Callithrix jacchus: one gene and its partner. Each later gene encodes a partner of the first gene's protein in a complex. Links are inferred from orthologs where the notes say so. Each region holds a gene or a part of one and is shown on either strand. Other genes may lie near its edges.

The links.
Region 2: ODAD4 (region 1) and CLXN share a complex: the UniProt entries of both Homo sapiens proteins name them as parts of the outer dynein arm-docking complex. The link is inferred for Callithrix jacchus from reciprocal best matches to the Homo sapiens genes ODAD4 and CLXN.

Annotation. Positions count from the first base shown.
Region 1 is NC_133506.1:91,291,219-91,299,168, forward strand, and holds part of ODAD4 (outer dynein arm-docking complex subunit 4), read right to left. Parts: intron 2,697-7,950; coding exon 2,565-2,696; intron 2,312-2,564; coding exon 2,161-2,311; intron 1,460-2,160; coding exon 1,398-1,459; intron 1,171-1,397; coding exon 1,005-1,170; intron 1-1,004. UniProt on the Homo sapiens protein: Component of the outer dynein arm-docking complex (ODA-DC) that mediates outer dynein arms (ODA) binding onto the doublet microtubule. Plays an essential role for the assembly of ODA-DC and for the docking of ODA in ciliary axoneme.
Region 2 is NC_133517.1:5,913,655-5,922,209, reverse strand, and holds the start of CLXN (calaxin), read right to left. Parts: upstream 4,945-8,555; 5' UTR 4,831-4,944; coding exon 4,773-4,830; intron 799-4,772; coding exon 643-798; intron 1-642. UniProt on the Homo sapiens protein: Component of the outer dynein arm-docking complex (ODA-DC) that mediates outer dynein arms (ODA) binding onto the doublet microtubule. Seems to regulate the assembly of both ODAs and their axonemal docking complex onto ciliary microtubules.

The DNA of each region.
Region 1 (7,950 bases):
TGGTAAAAGGAGTATTAGACTGGCCAGGTGCAATGGCTCACGCCTGTAATCCTAGCACTTTGGAAGGGCGAGATGAGTGGATCACTTGAGGTCTGGAGTTCAAAACCAGCCTGGCCAACATGGTAAAACCCCAATTCTACTTAAAATACAAAAACTTAGGCTGGGCGTGGTGGCTCATGCCTGTAATCCCAGCACTTTGGGAGGCCAAGGCAGGCAGATTACAAGGTCAGGAGTTTGAAACCAGCCTGGCCAATATGGTGAAACCCCCATCTCTACTAAAAAATACAAAAAATTAGCCAGGTGTGGCAGTGGGCACCTGCAATCTCAGCTACTAAGGAGGCTGAGGCAGGAGAATCACTTTAGCCCAGGAGGCAGAGGTTGCAGTGAGCCGAGTTCATGCCACTGCACTCCAGCCTGGGTGACAGAGCGAGACTCTGTCATTAAAAAAAAAAAAGAGCACTGGACTGGAGGTCAGAGGCCTGGGTTCTGGTACTGACTCCACCATGAACTTGCTTGTCGCCTTGTAAAAGTTCCTCCCCAATCAGGGTCTCTATTTCCTTATCTATGAAAGGAGAACTTGGACTAGATGATGTTTCAGAACATTCTAGAAGTAACATCCTTGTATTCAAGCACTAGTCACTGGATTCCTTTGCCCGTTGTACAGATTGAAGGCAAAGGGGATGCCTCTCCAGGGTCTATGGTGGTAAAGGAGACCAAATCTCTGTTGTTCCCTCCCAGGGTACCTTAGCACTTAGGACCACTGCTCTAAAATTGGACGTCCTGGATTCAAACATAAGCCATGTCATTCCCTCCCCATATGTGACCTTAGTTTCCGTTGGTCTGCACCTCAGTTTCCTTATCTGTAAAATGAGAATGCTAATAAAACCTGTCCATAGGTACATGTCAGTTAATATTACATGACAGGTTCTGCCTTCAGCTCATGCATTCAGCATCCACCCAGGTTTCCTTTCCCCAAGGCCCCATGCCAACAAAGTGTCCAAAACCTTCATCCAATAGGAGCTTCTCCAAGTATTCTTTGTCCACGTAGAGCTCCCCCAGAAGCTGGCGGACAATCTTCTCACTCTTGATTGAGCCCTTCCGCTTGGACTCTCCCTTGGTGGGGTGTAAGAGGTGTTTCATGGGCTGAGGCTTCTGCTGGGCTTTCATATTCTGAGAAAATGGAGCAATACCCAACAGAGTTTCAGCAAGGAGCACAACGTATCCAGCCATGATCCCAGCATGTTTGATCCCAGATTCCTCCAACTCCAGTACTTTTCTGTGGGCCAAGAACCATGGAGTATGCCTGGTTGGGTTGCAGCCAGACTCCCAAGACCCCTTCTCAGGCACACGTAGCCTCTTCCCTTAAAGGGATACAGCCACAGGACCAGGGCCCTTACCTCAGCCTGCTTGCTTAAGAAGGAGAGGTCCCCTTTGTTCTCCAGCTTAATGGAAGAAGGACCTGCAAGGAAAGAAGCTGGAGCTCAGGTAGGCCAGCCCCCTCAGGCATGACCTATCACGTATCTTTATGTGGAGATGGCTGCCTTTGGCAGGGGGATGGTGGAGGCTGTGGCAAAGCTGGCCCTAAGCCAGCCTAACAGGCAAATGTTGCAGGCTGTTTGGTGTAAATCCTAGGAGATAACAGCCCCAGCTAGCCCAAGGCTATGGCAGATTTCCAAACAAAGGGAGGCCAAGGGTGCAGGAGAAACTCTGTCCATTTCCAGGCTCTGTCACCCACAGAGCAAGCTCTCACTTGCTCTCATTTGCCTCCCTTATCCCCCTGCCATAATGCCAATGGCTAAGGCCAGCTCTTGGTATATGTTTGATGAGGGAGGAAGCCAGGGACTATGGAAGGCTGGGCTCAGGACCGTGTTCTAGCTTTTGACACCAGGCTAAAGACAGGCCTATTTTGAAACAGCCCTTCTCATCTGGCCTTTAGGAAAACCCAAGGCTGCAGTGCTCAGAGATCAGTGTACAGTATGTCAGGGCCTGGTCCCCCCAGTGGACAGTTCCTAATCCTCAACGCTGCAGCAGCCAAATCCAGGTGTGGGACTCCCCATGGGCCTGGTGCTGGCTGCTCACTCGCTGTACCTCAGTCTTCCTCTCAACCTAAGGATTCCAAAAACCTTCCTAAATAAGGGCATAGGCCCTGTCGTCACTTACTTCCCACTGAGTTGTTGATGGCTTCCTGGGCTTTCTGAATGCCAACTTTGAATTCCCGATCGGGCCTCAGCTTGTAGCCTCGATGATAGAATACCAAGGCAAACTCAAAGTCTCCCATGGTATATAGTGTCTCCGCCTTTTGTAAGATCCCCTGGAATGGGAGGAAGTCAAATCAAGGTGAACAGATAGAGACTTCAGGACTCAAATGTGGGGGAACAGAAGGGTCCTGGGTTGAGGGTCAAGGTTGGCATACAAGGGGCAGGGACATAGGCAATGACCTAGGAAGAGAAAATGGCATTAAACAGTAGGTGGTCTGGCTGGTTTTTCAGCTACTTGTAACCAGAAGCTGCTGCAGGCAATGGTAGTGGTGAAAGCAAGATCGAGCCCTCCCCCCATGCAGTCACCTTACAGAAAGTTGGGTCACTCTGGAGTGAAGCTTCAGCATCTTTCAGGGATCTCTCCAAGTCTCCCATCTTCAGGAAGCACTTTGAGCGAGCAACCAGGCAATTCTTGTCTCCATTCTGAAGCTGAAGAGCCTGACAAAGAAACCAGTCAGGTTGACAGCCACCACGAAGAGCAAGGTAGAAGCAGGAGTGGAAATGGCAGCCCAAACCCTCCTGCAGAAGTTCAAGGGGATTCTTCAGGCCAGCAAACAGACCTCTGGCTCCTAAATAGCACAACTCCAAACTGTGCTCAGTCAGCTTGATTATCTGCATGTGGCTCATCTTGAACAAGGTTGAATCACAGCTATTGTGGAAGCCACTGGCCAAAGAGCGGGAATATGCTACTCTGTGGATAGGGTGACTTTCTGCCAGTGTCTGAGAGCCCCCCAGGAGCCTCAGGCAATAGAACTGTAGGATATTTTGTGCACACCAAACTCAACCACAAACCTGAAATGGCAACACATCACGCTCAAAACAAATTTCAAAGGCTAAGCATTCGGAAGTGGACAATCTGCCATGTGGGTTAACCATTCTAGTAGCCTTCTCTTTTTATGTAGCTAATAAGAACTAATCACTATATCAGGGGATTAAGATTAAAATGCCAGGAAAAGGCTGGGAGTGGTTGCTCATGCCTGTAATCCCAGCACTTTGGCAGGTCGAGGTGGGTGGATCACCTGAGGTCAGGAGTTCAAGACCAGTCTGGCCATCATGGTGAAACCCCATCTTTTTTTATTAAAAAAAAAAAAAAAAAAATTAGGTGGGCGTGGTGGTGCATGTCTGTAGTCCCAGATACTCAGGAGGCTGAGATGGGAGGACTGCTTGAACCTGGGGAGGTCAAGGCTGCAGTAAGCCATGATCACAACACTACACTCCAGCCTAGGTGACAGAAGAGACTCTCTCAAAAAAGAAAGAAAAGAAAAAAGAGGCAGGGTGCAGTGGCTCATGCCTGTAATCCCAGCACTTTGGGAGGTCAAGGGGGGTGGATCATGAGGTCAGCAGATTGAGAACATCCTAGGCAACATGGTGAAACCCCGTCTCTACTAAAAATACAAAGATTAGCTGGGCATGGTGGCTCGCATCTGTAATCTCAGCTACTCGGGAGGCTGAGGCAGAAGAAACGCTCCAGGAGATGGAGGCTGCAATGAGCCGAGATCGCGCCACTGCACTCCAGCCTGGCAACAGAGACTCGTCTCAAAAAAAAAACAAGGCTGTGCGTGGTGGCTCACACCTGTAATCCTAGCACTTTGGGAGGCCAAGGCGGGAGGATCACAAGGTCAGGAGTTCGAGACCAGCCTGGCCAACATGGTGAAACCCTGTCTCTACTGAAAATATAAAAATTAGCCGGGTGAAGTGGTGGGCGCCTGTAATCCCAAGAACTCAGGAGGCTGAAGCAGGAGAATTGCTTGAACCTGTGAGGCGGAGGCTGCGGTGAGCCAAGACCATGCCACTGCACTCCAGCCTGGGCGACAGAGCATGACTCCGTCTCAAAATAAAAAAAATTAGCCGGACATGGTGATGAGCACCTGTAATCTCAACTACCCAACTACTTGGGAGTCTGAGGCAGGAGAATAACTTGAACCTGAGAGATGTGGGTAACCCCCCATATAGGAACCGAGGAATGAGAGCTAAGCAGAACCCTGGCACAGTTAGGGCTTGAGGAATATCTCACTTTATAGTGTTACCACTCAGCTATTTCCTTTTATATAATCCTTTATACAATCATATATTAGTTTATAGAAATAGGGCTTGACGAATCCCTTTATATAATCCTCTCTATATAATCATATAATAGTTAATAGTATGTATGAGTGCCTAAAGAATATTTCCCTACATATATACCTATAATTATATCTTAGTTCATATCGGAGGAATGCCTAGAGTGGACACAGTACAGAGCATGAATTAAGGAATAAGCAGCTTATAATCAGAGGAATGCCTGGAGCAGACACAGTGCAGAGCATGATTTAAGGGAAAAACAGTTATGCCAGGACAACAATCCATGGCCCAGGCGGCAGCGTTCAGTATCATAAAGATACCCGCTGTATGGCAGGCTTGGGGCAAGAGCCACTCCTCCTGATAAAGAAGTTGCTCCAGTTCTTGTGGAAGGCTGCCCTCAGAACGGCAATCTACCTTGGTGACTGTGAACTTTATCAGCTCTTGCTACTGTGCTGCTTGAAAAGCATCTTCCCATAGAACCCATTGGAAGCTGCCAGAAGGTGGCAGTAACCCTGACAGCTCTGTCACTGCTATGTGACTTAAAGCATCCTCCTATAAATTTTCTTAGAAGTAGTTTGACCATAGATAGAAGTATTGCACACTGCGCACAGCCCTTGCCTTCGTGGGAATGGGCCCTTTGCTGTGCACTGTCCACCTCCTGGCCTAGGTGACCTGATGGGGGTGGACTCCATGTTCTATTGCTCACGACCCTATCACTATCCTTAAAGATGATTTCACTCACTGCCCTGCCCCCTAACCTACACACAATAAATACTCATGCTTCTGGACATTCGGGGCCTTGCCTAACTCCGCTTATAGGTGGCGTGGCCCCCCGAGCCCAGCTGCATTTTTCTTGTACTTCTGTGTCCTGTCTCTTTATTTCTCGAATCCTACGCCTCAGCACAGCATAAGGCTCACTCCACGACCCTGTGGGGCCATCAGCCCTACAGAGAGGCAGAGGCTGCAGTGAGCTGAGATCATGCCACTGCACTACTCCAGCCTGGGTGCCAGAATGAGACTTTGTCTGGAAGAAAAAAAAAGAAAATGCCAGGAAAACTGAAACTGTGATTTTGACCCTTAAGTGGGGTTGAGGGTGATTTCCCCACTCCCAGTGTCCTCTCTTCTCTTCTGATTGAGATGATTACCACAGTCTGTGGTGTGCTGTCCTTCCTGAGGCATTGAACTGTACCCCACCCTGATCTTTTTTTTTTTTTTTTTTGAGACTGAGAAGTCTTACTCTGTCGCTCAGACTGGAGTACAGCGGCACAACCTCTGCTCACTGCAAACTCTGTGTCCCGGGTTCAAGCAATTCTCCTGCCTCAGCCTCCCGATAGCTGGGACTACAGGCACATGCCACCACACCCAGCTAATTTTTTTTGTATTTTTAGTAGAGACAGGGTTTCACCATGTTGGCCAGGCTGGTCTTGAGCTCCTGACCTCAGGTGATCCTCCCACCTCAACCTCCCAAAGTGCTGGGATTACAGGCGTGGAGCCACCCTACCCGGCCTTTTTTTTTCTCGAGTTTTTTTAAGATGGAGTTTCACTCTTGTTGCCCAGGCCGGAGAGCAATGTCGGCAATCTTCCTATTTTTCTTTTTTTTTTTTAATTTTTCTGTACTTGCAAACTACACAGAGAGACCTTCCTACTTTTCTAAGAAGAGGAAGTAGTTACTGTCTTTCTGGAAAATGCTTCTCATCTAAGGCTACCCTCCCTCAGGGTGTTCTTTTTTCTCGGCCAGGGGTACTTCAAGATGGGACATGATCCAGCAGGAGGAGAATGAGTGGGGGCAGGGCTCCTGAACTCAATTGTTCACTTATCTTGTCACTTCTGGCATTAGGGTGCAGTTGGTGGCTGAAAGAGACAAACGACTCTGGGGAGCTGTTGAGAAGTTTGATTTTTTTTTTTTTTTTGAGACGGAGTTTCGCTCTTGTTACCCAGACTGGAGTGCAATGGCGCCATCTCGGCTCACCGTAACCTCCGACTCCTGGGTTCAGGCAATTCTACTGCCTCAGCCTCCCAAGTAGCTGGGACTACAGGCGCACGCCATCATGCCCAGCTAATTTTTTGTATTTTTAGTAGAGACGGGGTTTCACCTTGTTGACCAGGATGGTCTTGATCTCTTGACCTCGTGATCCACCTGCCTCGGCCTCCCAAAGTGCTGGGATTATAGGCGTGAGCCACCGCGCCCAGCCAAAGGCATCTTTTTAGGGTACTATAGCTCATACCTATAATGTTAGCACTTTGTGAGGGGCCAAAGTGGGAGTCTTACTTGAGCCCAGGTGTTCAAGACCAGCCAGGACAACACAGCAAAACACCCATCTCTACAAACAAACAAAAATTACCCAGGCATGGTGGTGTAAGCCTGTAGCTCCAGCTACTTGGGACACTAAGGTGGGAGGACCACTTGAGCTCAGGAGTTTCAGGCTGTAGTGAGCTGTGATTTAACCACTACATTCCAGTCTCAGAGACAGAACAAGATCCTGTTATATGTAAATTTTCAATTGCTAAAAAAATAAATAGTTTCCTTATGCAGATGTCAGATGTGTAGTTTGATGGTTAGCACCTCAGCACTGGAGTCTCAACCCAGCTTTGAATCCCTCCTCTGCCACTTGCTAGTTCAGTGATCCTGGGCAAAACAAAAATTCCAGTTAGTTGGGAGGCTGAGGCAAGAGAATCACTTGAACCTGGAAGGCGGACATTGCATTGAGCAGAGATTGCACCACTGCACTCAGCACTCCAGCCTGGGCCGTCTCAAAAAAACAAAACAGGCTGGGTACGGTGGCTCAAGCCTGTAATCCCAGCACTTTGGGAGGCCGAGGCGGTTGGATCACGAGGTCAAGAGATCGAGACCATCCTGGTCAACATGGTGAAACCCCGTCTCTACTAAAAATACAAAAAATTAGCTGGGCATGGTGGTGCGTGCCTGTAATCCCGGCTACTCAGGAGGGTAAGGCGGGAGAATTGCCTGAACCCAGGAGGCGGAGGTTGCGGTGAGCCGAGATGGCGCCATTGGACTCCAGCCTGGGTAACAAGAGTGAAACTCTGTCTCAGAAAAACAAAACAAAACAAAACAAAACTCGAGTATGCTTAGCAGTGTGCGTGAGGCTGAGGCAGGAAAATTGAATGAACCCAGGGAGGTGGAAGTTGCAGTCAGCTGAGATCTCGCCACTGCACTCCAGCCTGGGCAAAAGGGCGAGAATTTTAGTCTCGAAATTAATAACAATATGTTGCTTACTGCCCACCTTTTGTAAGCAATTGTGTGCTGGACACACTGTGGCTTCTACATACAACCTCTCAGCCAATCTGCTGGCAAGGGATTGGGTAGGTAAATTTTCGATTGCTTAAAAAAAAAAAAATTGTTAAATGTAAATTTTGATGGGTAGGTAAGGCTGCTCTGTGGAAGGAGGCCAGTTAATCATGAAACATTTAAGCAAAAGTAGAGGAAGAGGTCACTGTTAACACAGAGACTGGAGAATGCAAGTGGGAATTGGTAGAAAATTACCAAGCACTGGGCTTATCTGTGACAGCAATGTGTCTATCAAGAATCAGTGAATATTGCTTTTTATTTTATAGGTTAAAAAAAGAAGGCAAAAGAAAAAAAAAATTTTTAAGAATCAGTGAATAATAGAAA
Region 2 (8,555 bases), on another chromosome or scaffold:
TGCATGGTAACTCGGTGAAGCATCTACACTGGCATCACTCACTTTTAAAACTAAGAGAACACTTCGGCTTGTGCGGTCCAATATTCTCATCTGACAAAGAGGAAACTAAGACATCTTCATATCATGAAACTCTTTTATTAAACATTCAATTTTTAAAATGTTTTCGTGGGAATGAATACAGTTCTCAATGCCTAAATGTATTAATCATTAATAATAGATATGTTGGTCATGTTAATGAGATAGTTAAATACTAATATAAATAAAATACTCTTTTTGTTACTCAAGTCATTACATGTTGCATAGAATTATATCTTGTCACTGAAGATGTAAATAATTTAAATGTCCTTTAAAAACTATTCTATTTATTAGTTTTATTGAGTATAAATAGAAATGCTTTGGGTTTTCTGATATAAAGTAAGGGAAAGGTAGTTAGTCAACATGACTCTGCCTTCTTCTTAAATACACAAAATAAAGCCAAATATTACCTCTTTTCTATGATCTTTTCAAAATTAAATTTGTATATTCCAGTGGCACAGGGAATGCAAAACACTAAGCTTCCTACCAAGAGGATGTCCAAAAGCCAAAACTTTTTTTTTCAGTTATGGCTGGATTTGGCCAATTTGAATCTCCTGTGTCTCTTACCTCTGTCCATAATCATGTCATCTGTCATTCCAAACGTCACATGCAGGATGTTTCGAAAGGCATTACGATCCAGTCCAATAATCAGACCTTGCCTCTCTACTCCTCCCACCAAGTTGTAAAAAAGCCTTATAAGACAGTTCACTTCAAATTTATTAACTGAAAGAATAAAACAGATATAACAAAAATGAATCCTTAATCTTTAAGCTCTAACTTAAATTTTGCATTAATAAGTTTACAAACAACATAAAAGACATCAAATAGGTAATTGTCAATAGAAGACTCTCTTGTTTTGAGATTCATGACCCTTAATAGAAATAGAAGTAGCACACCCTCCAAACAGGAGTTCCCACGTTTAGGGGAAAAATATGACAGTATTAGCTAAGTTATTAGACTAATGATGGTGGTGTAGGATTCTAAACTCTACAAGGCTGGTAGAAATATGACTCAAAATAAGAATGGTAAGGTTTAAGAATGGTAACTTTTTCCCAGTGTTTATTGGCATTCATGAGTTTACAACTTCTTTTCCCTGGAAATAGATGTCAGTTTCATGAAAAGTAGGTAACAATTTTCATTTCACTTTAGCCTTCATGGATTCATAAGCCAGATTTTGGAAACCAGAGTCACTAGTTTTTCAAAAAAAAAGCTTTACAGTATAGTCTAGCACCCAATATGGCTCTTGTTGAGGATTATGTAAAAATTAATATGCAACTATTCAGTAATTGTTGGGAGGAAAGAAATTTTTTTAAAGGATATATACACACAGATGCTTGCTCATACACATATTGTGTAAAGAACCATGGTTATAAATACCGAGCTGATTATTTGTGTTCCAATTCCCATTTGAGAATGTAGGTGGAAGGGTTATTGCTTGGTCTTGAAAATATAAAAGCCCAAATACCAAGTATGAGCGAAAGTTGGGGAAAATTTGTTTTGAAACCAGGCAGAACTATGATTGAGCATTTTAAGAAAACAAGGACAAAACCTGTGTGTGTGCGTGTAACAGAAGACAGCATCTAGGAATGGAAAAAGCACGCCTCATCTTAGAGGTCAGTATGGGCTTTTGTGGGATTTCTGGTTTTGAGAACCATGCTTAAAGAGAAATACTGAAAACTCTGGGAAAAAAAGGATTCAGTAAATAAATAGTAGGAAATAATATAATGGTTATGATTTTAAAAACAGCTGTTGTCACTGTGGAAAACATTAGGATGGTTCCTCAAAAATGTAAACACAATTATTGTATGATCCAGGAATTCTACCTGAGTACATACCGAGAAGAACTGAAAGCAGGAACCTGTACAACAATGTTCATAGTGGTATTATTCAGAACAGTCAAAAGACAGACGCAAGAGTCCATCAATGGAGGGATGGACAGACAAGATGTGGCATATTTATACAATAAAATACTACTATTCAGCCGTGAAAAGGAAGAAAATTCAACAGATAAATGAACATTTATGGACACTATGCTAAGTGAAATAGGCCAGACACAAAAGGACACATATTGTATGATTCCTTGTACATGCGGTACTTAGAGTAGTCAGATTCATAGAGACCAAGTAGAATGGTGATTGCCAGGGGCCAGGAGGAGGAGGGGATGGTGAGTTAGTGTTTCATGGGTAGAGTTTCTGTTGGAGACGATGAAAAAGTTCTGGAAGTGGATGGTGGTGATGGAAGCAGAACAGAGTGAAACAGAACAATGGGAATGTACTAATGCCATGGAACTAAGCACTTAAAATGGTCCAAATAGTAAATTTCATGTATGTAAACACACACACACCACACCCTTCTGAGAAAGCAAGAGCTGTTAGTGGTTGGGGAAGAAAAGCCTGCGGGAAGAACGATGCACTCTGTTCATGTATATAAAATGCTAGCAGATGGGATGTTGCTTAGCCATTTTTCTGTCTCAGCTGAAATAAAACCTTTTTAAAAATCAGTTTAATTTGTTACCCAAGGGATCAAAGGTTAGCCATAAGAAAACTTTAATTGCTAAATATTTCTTAAATTCTGGAATACAATATTAAATGAAACTGAAGAAAATTCAAGAAGAGATTTTCATCTTCTTGGAATGCTCTAAATACGTCCTGCAGAACATATCTGCAGAATGGTGCATGAACTAGATGCCCTCTTAAGATCTTTTACTCTTCTTTGATTCTACAAAATTTATCATTGAATCTTGATAGCTCTATTGTCTTGGAACTAAAACAAAATTTGACTTTAGGGGAAACTTCTTCTGTTCAAGGAAATCTAAAATTATTATAATACCCATGACTTGTAACTCTTTCTATAGACTTTAATAATCATCTAAGTTTGTAAGGCTCATTAAAATTGTTTTATGTAAAGAAAAAATCAAAGGAGTAGACTTTTTCCTGCCATATTTTTACTCATCTTTTGAAATATACACTCACCTTTTGATTGTTCAGAGAATGATTGTTTGCAATGCATTCAAATTTACTGAACAGAAACTAAATAAATTCAAACTTAAGGAAAGGGACAAAATCAGTATTGTGTACAGCAGCAATTGCATTGTTTTTGAATATTTATCAAAAATGTTTACTAGATGTTTCAACAATACCTATTTTTCTCCCAGAAATGAAAGTGTTTTAAGAAAAACAATAACAGAACAAAACTCTCATCGGAGTATAAGTCATAATAATACCTTAAATTACAGGATATTTTGCCTAAAATTTGTAAGATGCTTATACACACCATAACGTTCATTTATGCCACCATCCCACTAAGAGAGCATTTCTTACCAGTTATTAATCAGATACTAATGGTGATTCGAATGCACTAGATCTCACACTCTCTAAAACTACATCAACAGGTTTATTGCTTCTTCTTTGAGCAACCCAGGTCTTTGCTCAAAGACCAGTTGCTTCTGCTTCTTCAAGTGGCGAGCAGTTTTGCAATCAGCACACAACTTCTAAGTTTGCTCGACAGGCAATATCTTCCTCGTCTCAACCATATCCACGGCTTCCCTTGCTCAAGTGCAATTCTGTTTTTCAATCTGAATAGAATCTCAACATCTCCTATGAAATTCTAGGACCACCCTTTCAAATGCGAGATTAGAGCAGGCGCCTTCAATAAGGCAGTGCCCTTGGGTTAGAGCAGGCGCCTTCAATAAGGCAGTACCGTTGGGTTAGAGCAGGCGCCTTCAGTAAGGCAGTACCGTTGGGTTGAAAGCCTCCTTTATCTTTCAACACCACGGGCCACTGGAAAGTGGGAGTCTAAAGTTTGGACCCTTTCTTTCTTTCTTTTTTTTTTTTTTTGAGACTGAGTTTCGCTGCTGTTACCCAGGCTGGAGTGCAATGGCGCGATCTCGGCTCACCGCAACCTCCACCTCCTGGGTTCAGGCAATTCTCCTGCCTCAGGCTCCCGAGTAGCTGGGATTACAGGCACGCGCCACCATGCCCAGCTAATTTTTTGTATTTTTAGTAGAGACGGGGTTTCACCATGTTGACCAGGATGGTTTCGATCTCTTGACCTCGTGATCCACCCGCCTCGGCCTCCCAAAGTGCTGGGATTACAGGCGTGAGCCACCGCGCCCGGCCTGGACCCATTCTTTACCACCTGTTTAGTTGCATGAACTCTGGTTTCCAAACAAATCTCCTTGCTCTGAGGCACAGATGAGATGACACAACTCATCTCTCCTAAAGATGTTCAGAGCTTGGGCACCATTTTCTCCTGTGGGTCTCTTGGCAAGCTTCCAGAACTTAGACCTGCGGGTATATGTGCGAGCTAGAAAGCAAGGTGGGTGTACGATCTACGTCCGGGGTGCTACTTTTCTTAAGACCAGTGGGTTTTAGCATTTATTTTACACCTCCCTTAGGCTAACACCACAAGTTTCTATCATGTAAAAGAAGAGGCTTGGAGAAGTGCATGTGTGGGAGTGTAGGTAGCACTAGAAGCGTGGGCCTGGGTTCCTAAGTTCCTGGGCGTTGGAGCCAAACCCAAGGAGCTAGCACCCCGGGATTCCCTCCCTGCTTCTGCATAAGGGGCGGGGGTGGAGGGGCGGTAGCCCACAGAGGCCTGGGCTGCGGGAAGCGGGCACAACTGCGGCCCTTAGCACCGGATGGGGTCCAGGCCCGGCCCAGGAGCCTCGTCTTGTCCAGCACTAGATTCTTACTTACAGTGCTTGCAATTTTTAGTTAAGGTGTCGGTCAGCTTCTGCAGCTTCTTGCGGTTCATGCCTGGCGCCCACGGAATCGGGCCGCGGCGGGGATCTCGGGGCGCTCGGCTGCCGAGACCCTCGCGGGAAGCCCGCGAGCCCTGGGGCTGGGGCAAAGGGGTGAGGTCTCCGTCAACGAGCGCGTGCGCGGCCCTAACAGACGGTGTAGCCATGACAACAGCTCTGCCCGCCGCCGATTGGCTCCCAGGCTGCCCGCGACGTGACCATGGCAACAGCCGGGCCCCGCCCATTGGCTCCGCCTCTGCGCGCTCTGGGTCCCGGGTGCGCGGTGCTGCAGGCAGGGTCCCAGCCGGGCGCTTCGTGGGCTGAAGTCTGATGCTGACTTTGGGGTTTAAATGTTCAGTTGTCTGTGGCTGCTGAGTGCACAGCCTCCTTGCTTTGCAGCGTAAATCATTAAAATCTGAAATACGGTGTGCACGCTTTGTGAGGGGTGGTGAGCGTCACCCCTCAAGGGGTGGCCTAAGATCTTGGCCATCTTGGGGGCTGGAGCAGCGTCACAAAATAGCAAGGGTGCTGTCCAGATGGCTGTCAGCCTGGTGCAGGAGGGCGAGGAGCTTGCCCTTTGGGCGGAGCCGCTGCTCAGGCTGTCAGTGTTGCTGCGGTAGCAGGAGGCAGTCTGTCACCTGAGGTCTTCAAGTTTTTAGTGGTGTTTCTGAGAGCAAGGGGAAACTGGAATACAGTCAAGGCTTGCCTAAGGAGGGGGATGCGTTCTGAGGCCACTAGGCGATTTCCTCACTGTGCATACATCACAGTGCACGGACGCACACCTAGATGGCCTCGCCTACTGCACGCCGGGTTGAATGGTACAGCCCACTGCTTCCGGGCTGCACCCCTGCACAGCAGGTCACCCGTGGAGTGCTGCAGGCAGCTAGAACAGAGTGTGCTTCCCCAGAGGGCTTTTATATATGGATTATATATAAAATATCTTTTTTTATTTATTCATTTATTCATTCATTCATTTTTTGTTTGTTGTGAGACTGAGTCTCGCTCTGTCGCCAGGCTGGAGTGCAATGGCGCAATCTTGGCTCACTGCAACCTCTGCCTCCCGGGTTCAAGCGATTCTTCTACCTCAGCCTCCCGAGTAGCTGGGACTACAGGCACGTGCCACCACTCCCAGCTAATTTTTGTATTTTTGGTAGAGACGGGGTTTCTCTATATTGGCCAGGATGGTCTCGATCTTTTGACCTCAGGTGATCCGCCCGCCTCGGCCTCCCAAAGTACTGGGATTCCAGGCGTGAGCCACTGTGCCCGGCCCGGTGTTATATCCTATGGGACCACTGTCCTAATGCTGTCTGACGATGATCTAAATGGCGCTATGCAGCGTGTGACTGTAGTTTTTTTTTCTTTTCCCATTGCCCTCATCTCACTCTCAAAAGGTGGAGGTTGTCTGTGGAATCTGAGGAGAGCCACCGGGAATTTTTATAGTGGTTAAATAGGCATTCCCCCCCAGTGAAAACAAACTGACAAGTACCCCTTGGGTGTGGGGTGCAGCCCAATCTTGCTTTTCCAGTAAATATCTCAGTAACCTTCGTCTTTTACTTATTTGAAAGACGGGTTCTGTGCCTGCAGACAAAGGACATTCCTTACATCTTCAGTGTGGGAGCACTTTCTGCTTTTCCTAACCACAGAGGGGATCCCCTCTTTCAGCTAAGGTGGCAATAGAAAGGGTGGCTCAGCCAGGAGCACCAAATCTGCGGTATTCCCCAGAGTACCTGCTTGTTTAACTTCAGAGGGGAAAACGCCTTTGGAATACAAATTATTTTACTGTACACATACTCGCATTTTTAGACTGAAGGCAGAAAAATTCTACTAACCGAGAGTAATAATCCCAAATGAATAGTTCCAATGTCGAGGCCTCTGGTTTTTCTTCACTGTTTGATTTGTTTATGGAATGAAGGATTGGGACACTGTTTGAAACCACAGCAAAGGGTGCTTGGTTAAGCAGGGACTGGAAAGCAAATGTCCTGATATGAATTGACTGGTTATGAGTTTGTAATGGCAGTCTGGTTAAATAGCGTTTCTATGTATCCCCTTGTCTAGAAGCTGTGAAATTTCTGAGACCCTAAGAACAAAAGGGAAGGCTGAATATATTTGAATCACTTGAAAATTCAATTACATATTTGAATATTTGAATACTTACCTGTGATACCTTAATGATTTCTGTTAGATCACAAGAATTGTAGCAATTATTTAATTCCTAGAGATTGCTGCTTCTTGCTCACTTCAAGAGATAAGGACCCGAAAGAAGACTTGTCAGTAATTACTAAGAGAACCGGGGCTCCCCATCTGACGTTGTAGGCCTGCGCTGGGGGTGAGTACACTGGTGGTCGTTTCTGACTTTTGGGGAGATCGCATACACTGGGTGCTTGCTATGAGTGAGCTAATAAGTTATTCCTTCACCAGTTTCAGGCCTAGAGCCCATCAGCCATATTCCCTTAAAGTGAAAAAAAAAAAAAAAGATGTAGGGGCAATATCACAGATTGTTGAAATTAAAATATGCCAAGCAAAAATCCTTAACCTGTTGAGCAAACTTTGTAAGTCCCTCCTCCTCTTCTACTACTTTTCTCCTCCAGTTCTTTCTTTCTTCCATCCTGTTCTTTTAGCCAAAACAATCTCTACATCTATCTGTTTGTCTGTCTACGCAAGCGCATTGCTTTGTGAATCTCACTTATCTAAGAGAGTGGTTTACAGAGTTGACCTTACAGTTAGGTCTTCCCATCTTTTTCAGGGAAAGCACTGTGTTTATTTAGGGTATGTTTTGTCAACATACGGCAAACTCCAAGCTTTCATTACATTCTTGCAAAGTTTTGGAAGTTAATATTTTTAGATTTTAGGAACAAGTTGCAGGCCTGCTAGAGTTAGTGAATGACATTTCAAAGCAAGTTGAAGTTTCTATTTGTAGTTCTAGTTGCTTATGCTGCGTAGACACAGGACTGCTTTCTCCCAAGGGCTTTCTCAGAGTAAATCATGAAGCCTGAGAGGCTGCTTCATATCAAATCAATCAATAATGAAATAATAAAGGATTGTGTTTAACTTGTATTGGACATAAATTTTACTGTGCATGGAATGATCATAGAACTTTCCAAAATCCAAGCAACCTCAAGATGAATAGCTCTGTAAACACAGGAGTACATTAACCTGACTACTAACGTTGTTTCCTTCAGTTTTGCGTGCACAACAATCTTCCCTCTGACTCGGCTTTCACTGGATTGTTGCCATGATAAGCAGCCTGGACCTTGACTTGATGAAAGTGTTTTCCTTAATGTGGACCTTTTATGATGAAGGCCTTTGGATGCTGTTGAGGAAATGACATAGAATTGATCTCCAAGTATATCACAAATCTATTATAAAATTGCTTGAATCCAAGGAAAATAGAAAGGTTAGTTACCTGCATAATAGAAATTCAATCTTACTAATTTTGTTTTGTGGAGATAGTGATAAAAATGTCAGAGTTACCTGAGTGGCCAGGTTTTGGGTGGTGGAATCTCCAAGGGTGGTGGTGACAAGCTGCTGCCAGCATTCAGACCCAGAGGACACTGTCTCATGCACAGTCTGCGTTTTCTTTGCCCCGGCCACTCCCCGTGGGCAACTCTTCAAAGTGCTCTTTCAGCTCCCAATATGAAGTGAATCCTTCCCCAACCAGCCATTTTCTTCCTCGGTACCATTTTTCTAGCACTGGTCACTGTGTGAAACAACCTGTTTTTTCTAACCTCTCCTTCCACTA